2 linked regions of the Saccharomyces cerevisiae S288C genome follow. The gene in region 2 interacts genetically with the main gene of each other region. Each region holds a gene or a part of one and is shown on either strand. Other genes may lie near its edges.

Region 1 (3,664 bases), on a different chromosome or scaffold from region 2:
TCATAGTATGAGAGCATTTCACGCAGCACACTTGAGTCTTAAATTAATGAATAAAAGCAGCCAACCCCAAGAAAAAAGAGCCCTTATCTGTTTCTGTCGCAGTCCTATTGTATTCTTCCTAACTATATAATTTTGTCAAAATGAAAAATATAAAAAAAATAATAAAGTCAGCTGAGTGGTAAAGAGAAAGCAAAGGGAGAGAAAAATCGGTTACCCAGATGGATTAGGTTACCCAGATGTCATACGTGTATCATGATTTCTAGAAATTATTACCCTGTTTGGTACCATGACAACGGATATGGCAATCTTGCATTAAGTAAAATGTCTCTAATGGGACCGTGAAGGTACAAAACAGCAATGGTCTAGGTAGTGGCATTCGAAGCTTCGAAAGCGTGGCCTCGCCTCGAGCGTGAAGTCATATTTTCTCACTCTGCACTGCCGTGCTGTGCCATGTAGCCCACTGTATGCCTCTAGCACCCCAATCGGGAAAATTGTAAACATTAGCAGGTGTCGCCTCGAGGCCCCCGATACATTTTTCAACATCTCCTCGATACTTAAACAGCAAACAAACAAGCAACACCCACGCAAGAAGATTTATTAATACCTCTTGACTCCCGTAGATATTGAAGAGACTAAGTATAGTAACGCATATCCGCACAATACTATGGTTAAGGTCTGGAATATAGTACTACGTCTGGTAGTGTTGCTGTTTTTAGCAGGTAATACCTTGCTGTTAATTTTGATGATTATATCTGGTGCCACGGACCATTACCCCGTGAACAGATTCTATTGGGTGCAGGGCAATACAACAGGCATACCTAATGCTGGGGATGAAACACGTTGGACGTTTTGGGGCGCCTGTCTACAGGATAAAGACGGGTCGGATACCTGCACAAGCAATTTGGCACCTGCATACCCCATTTCCCCAGTAGATAACTTCAACACACACATCAATGTCCCTCACCAGTTTATTTCCAAAAGAGACGCTTTTTACTACCTGACTAGATTTTCATTTTGTTTCTTTTGGATTGCGCTTGCCTTTGTAGGTGTGTCGTTTATCCTTTACGTTTTGACTTGGTGCTCGAAGATGCTTTCAGAGATGGTGCTTATCCTCATGTCTTTTGGGTTTGTCTTCAATACGGCAGCCGTTGTCTTGCAAACGGCCGCCTCTGCCATGGCAAAGAATGCTTTCCATGACGATCATCGTAGTGCCCAATTGGGTGCCTCTATGATGGGTATGGCTTGGGCAAGTGTCTTTTTATGTATCGTGGAATTTATCCTGCTGGTCTTCTGGTCTGTTAGGGCAAGGTTGGCCTCTACTTACTCCATCGACAATTCAAGATACAGAACCTCCTCCAGATGGAATCCCTTCCATAGAGAGAAGGAGCAAGCAACTGACCCAATATTGACTGCCACTGGACCTGAAGACATGCAACAAAGTGCAAGCATAGTGGGGCCTTCTTCCAATGCTAATCCGGTCACTGCCACTGCTGCTACGGAAAACCAACCTAAAGGTATTAACTTCTTCACTATAAGAAAATCACACGAGCGCCCGGACGATGTCTCTGTTTAAATGGCGCAAGTTTTCCGCTTTGTAATATATATTTATACCCCTTTCTTCTCTCCCCTGCAATATAATAGTTTAATTCTAATATTAATAATATCCTATATTTTCTTCATTTACCGGCGCACTCTCGCCCGAACGACCTCAAAATGTCTGCTACATTCATAATAACCAAAAGCTCATAACTTTTTTTTTTGAACCTGAATATATATACATCACATATCACTGCTGGTCCTTGCCGACCAGCGTATACAATCTCGATAGTTGGTTTCCCGTTCTTTCCACTCCCGTCATGGACTACAACAAGAGATCTTCGGTCTCAACCGTGCCTAATGCAGCTCCCATAAGAGTCGGATTCGTCGGTCTCAACGCAGCCAAAGGATGGGCAATCAAGACACATTACCCCGCCATACTGCAACTATCGTCACAATTTCAAATCACTGCCTTATACAGTCCAAAAATTGAGACTTCTATTGCCACCATTCAGCGTCTAAAATTGAGTAATGCCACTGCTTTTCCCACTTTAGAGTCATTTGCATCATCTTCCACTATAGATATGATAGTGATAGCTATCCAAGTGGCCAGCCATTATGAAGTTGTTATGCCTCTCTTGGAATTCTCCAAAAATAATCCGAACCTCAAGTATCTTTTCGTAGAATGGGCCCTTGCATGTTCACTAGATCAAGCCGAATCCATTTATAAGGCTGCTGCTGAACGTGGGGTTCAAACCATCATCTCTTTACAAGGTCGTAAATCACCATATATTTTGAGAGCAAAAGAATTAATATCTCAAGGCTATATCGGCGACATTAATTCGATCGAGATTGCTGGAAATGGCGGTTGGTACGGCTACGAAAGGCCTGTTAAATCACCAAAATACATCTATGAAATCGGGAACGGTGTAGATCTGGTAACCACAACATTTGGTCACACAATCGATATTTTACAATACATGACAAGTTCGTACTTTTCCAGGATAAATGCAATGGTTTTCAATAATATTCCAGAGCAAGAGCTGATAGATGAGCGTGGTAACCGATTGGGCCAGCGAGTCCCAAAGACAGTACCGGATCATCTTTTATTCCAAGGCACATTGTTAAATGGCAATGTTCCAGTGTCATGCAGTTTCAAAGGTGGCAAACCTACCAAAAAATTTACCAAAAATTTGGTCATTGACATTCACGGTACCAAGGGAGATTTGAAACTTGAAGGCGATGCCGGCTTCGCAGAAATTTCAAATCTGGTCCTTTACTACAGTGGAACTAGAGCAAACGACTTCCCGCTAGCCAATGGACAACAAGCTCCTTTAGACCCGGGGTATGATGCAGGTAAAGAAATCATGGAAGTATATCATTTACGAAATTATAATGCCATTGTGGGTAATATTCATCGACTGTATCAATCTATCTCTGACTTCCACTTCAATACAAAGAAAATTCCTGAATTACCCTCACAATTTGTAATGCAAGGTTTCGATTTCGAAGGCTTTCCCACCTTGATGGATGCTCTGATATTACACAGGTTAATCGAGAGCGTTTATAAAAGTAACATGATGGGCTCCACATTAAACGTTAGCAATATCTCGCATTATAGTTTATAAAAGCATCTTGCCCTGTGCTTGGCCCCCAGTGCAGCGAACGTTATAAAAACGAATACTGAGTATATATCTATGTAAAACAACCATATCATTTCTTGTTCTGAACTTTGTTTACCTAACTAGTTTTAAATTTCCCTTTTTCGTGCATGCGGGTGTTCTTATTTATTAGCATACTACATTTGAAATATCAAATTTCCTTAGTAGAAAAGTGAGAGAAGGTGCACTGACACAAAAAATAAAATGCTACGTATAACTGTCAAAACTTTGCAGCAGCGGGCATCCTTCCATCATAGCTTCAAACATATTAGCGTTCCTGATCTTCATACCCGTGCTCAAAATGATCAAACAAACTGTTATTGCCAAGAAATAAACGCAAGGCTGCCTTCAAAAACTGATCCATTAGATCCTCATATCAAGCTTCCTCATAGAACGCCCAATTACAATAAGCATGTTTTGCTGTTATCACCGGGTGATAGGTTTGCTCAACCATGGAAGGTAGCATG
Region 2 (3,007 bases):
GCGCATATTATGTGTCGCCTAAGTTATATAAGAATTTTTGTTTATACATCTTTAGAATTGGAAACCGCCCTCTTGTTAATAAAAGATTGTATGGTTTGGCGCTCCTTGACCAAAATTAACGCTAACAATCCCATTGCGAATAATACGTTAACAACAAATTGTTGTAAATTTTTAACGTACCCAATAAACCACCAGTCAAGTAGACAGATCGTTGAGCCAGCAATAATAACTGTTTTGAAATCCTTAAAATTGAAGAAAAAAGAGGAATCTGTAAACAGTTCCCTATGAAATTTATTCAAGAAAACTCCACAATACAATATTCTCAACACCATGTTAATGATGTTACTCAATATCAAGCCTTCGATTGATAGTTTGAGTTTTTCAATAAGAAGCCAGGAATTGAGCAGGAAAATACCAGAAAAGGCCATCATAAAATATGAATGTTTCAAAATTTGGTCACCAGTGGCTACACTCTGGAAAAAAGCTTCAAAAATACCATTAAGCGATAAAAATGGGATGTAAAAGCAGTAGACTCTTATAGTGTCCAAAACGGAAGTAGTGGACCATTTCGAGCCAATCAAGAACTGCAATAAAAAGGATGAATTGGCAGGCCCAAATACAATGATCATTAACGATAAGTATATGTAAAACCTTGTTAAATTCACCAGGACTTCAATAGATAGTTTTAAATTTTTAGGGTTATGCGAGGATAATAAACGGGCCAAAAATAACCGCAGAGATTCTTCGATCGGCGCAAATAATAATCTTGTTAGTAGCGATCCATAGTTCGACAATAGAGCGTAAATGCCTTGTTCTTCCACAGTACATAAAGAATTGATAATCAACTTATCACCCTCTGTCAACAAATGCTTAAAACATAGTTGAAAATAAACTTTTTTGAAGTGCTGTAAAATGTCGTTTTGGAAAAAATAAGATGTGCTCTTTGGGTAGCCTTTCTTCAATTCGTTATTTTCACGCGTTTTTATCTTCGTTAGCCTGGTACTGAACAATTTCTTTGGTTTGAAATTCTTGAGATAGTCCCAGTAGTAACATGCTAGCAGGGTGATCGAATGTGCTAACTTTCCCAAGGCAAATGCCAATATGGCGATGCCTTCTTTGTCAATGTCCGATGTGACAACCCCCATTGGGTAGCGGGATTGCTGAACGGCATAAACAACTATAAAATTGACAATACATCCTGTAGTCACCGCGATGCTTTCAAATCTTGACCTTGCGGCATAGTTCAACATAAACTGGTTGACGATGAAGAATGGCTCGCTTAACAGCTCCACGATGATACTCAGCCAGATAAGAAAAATCGACCACCTGAAGAATGGAAGAGTGATGAAATACGCGTTGATGTTTCTGTACTGCCAGGCGATAAGACCAATGGACAGTGGAAACCCGATCCAAAACGGAATGTAAGCAAAATTGACTGCGGTTTGCAAAACTTTAGACTTGTAATGAGTTTCCTGGTACTCCTCCTCGTCGTCATCATCGATTATTCCATTACCGGAGTCTGAGATTCTCAACGTCGACAGACGAATCGCATCTCTGCTAAAAAATAACACTGTGCCCTGTATAAATTCTAGAAAGGCCGTGATACCGAAAATTCTGGGCGACAGAAACCTGATCAACAAATTATTTAGTATGAACGTTACCAGTTTGGTGAAAAGTTGGCCCATCATGAGGAAGGTAGCTCCTGTTGTGGACCTTTCCAAGATCTGCTCACTAGTAGAGGGCAATTGTGAGTTTTTTTTCGCCATTTTTTCTTTTCCTTCACTGACAAAAGCAGAATCAACTTCAAATCACCCTATCTGTGGCCCTTTACTGCTACTAATACGCATTGTCTTCTCCAGGCTGCGATTACTGCAAACCTTCTGCCAAAATATAGCACAATAGAAGTACCATATTACGTTCGATGCCACGACAATATCGCGCTACGTGCGTTTTTTGGTCCGCTCTTTCAGACTAAGTAAAAAAAGAGCTGCGAATAGTAGCTTTCCGCCAATCAAACTCAAGAGCAGGACTAAGCTAGATAGTAACACAAGTGGCACAAACCTCTCGAGAATATGAATACCAACGAGTCCGAACATGTTAGCACAAGCCCAGAGGATACTCAGGAGAACGGTGGAAACGCTAGCTCCAGCGGCAGTTTGCAGCAAATTTCCACGCTAAGAGAGCAGGACAGATGGCTACCCATCAACAATGTAGCGCGACTCATGAAGAATACTCTCCCACCGAGTGCTAAGGTATCGAAAGATGCGAAAGAGTGCATGCAGGAGTGTGTCAGTGAGCTCATTTCTTTTGTGACTAGCGAGGCCAGCGATCGATGCGCTGCTGACAAAAGAAAGACGATAAACGGGGAAGACATTCTCATATCATTGCACGCCTTAGGATTCGAGAACTATGCAGAGGTGTTGAAAATCTACTTGGCTAAATACAGGCAACAACAGGCGCTGAAGAATCAACTAATGTATGAGCAGGACGACGAAGAGGTGCCTTGAGAAGACAAAACCAGGTGGTAGATCGCAAAAGTTGCTAGCTGTCAGGATGGAATAGCACGGGGCTATTTCCTGCTGGTCGTTGGTTCTCGTGTAATTAATGAATGTAACGATATAGATAATATTTTATTGTTAGTGTGTAATGTATTCAATGTAATGTATGGGTGCTTTGTAAAGGGTGTATGATGTTTGCCACCGGAAGGAAATAAGTCAGACGAAGTCTTTTAGCCATGCTTTTGCATTGGTATTGCAGCAACGACAAGCTGATACGGTTACTAGGACACCTAAAACCTGATAATACAGTGTGCATTTGCAGCTGTTTCAAAGTTTAGTTGTTTTTTCTTTTGGTTTTCGAGGTGCTTGAACGAAAAGATTTGCAAATAGAGCATGCTAAGAACAAGAACCACAAAGACCCTTAGCACAGTGGCGAGGACCACAAGAGCTATCCAATATTACCGATCTATCGCTAAGACTGCTGCAGTTTCTCAAAGAAGGTTCGCATC

What was found. Genes that interact genetically often act in the same process or in processes that back each other up.
Region 1: mutations in HAP3 (region 2) and GAL80 together harm fitness more than expected from each alone (negative genetic interaction), as found in Saccharomyces cerevisiae (3 studies listed by BioGRID).

What each region holds. Positions count from the first base shown.
Region 1 is NC_001145.3:169,738-173,401, forward strand, and holds GAL80 (transcription regulator GAL80), read left to right. Parts: upstream 1-1,856; coding exon 1,857-3,164; downstream 3,165-3,664. Other genes in the region: YML053C (uncharacterized protein), read right to left, coding at 1-17; SUR7 (Sur7p), read left to right, coding at 665-1,573; AIM32 (Aim32p), read left to right, coding at 3,402-3,664. UniProt on the Saccharomyces cerevisiae protein: This protein is a negative regulator for the gene expression of the lactose/galactose metabolic genes. It binds to GAL4 and so blocks transcriptional activation by it, in the absence of an inducing sugar.
Region 2 is NC_001134.8:181,160-184,166, reverse strand, and holds HAP3 (Hap3p), read left to right. Parts: upstream 1-2,072; coding exon 2,073-2,507; downstream 2,508-3,007. Other genes in the region: RFT1 (glycolipid translocation protein), read right to left, coding at 42-1,766; ATP-dependent Lon protease PIM1, read left to right, coding at 2,892-3,007. UniProt on the Saccharomyces cerevisiae protein: Acts a component of the CCAT-binding factor, which is a transcriptional activator and binds to the upstream activation site (UAS2) of the CYC1 gene and other genes involved in mitochondrial electron transport and activates their expression.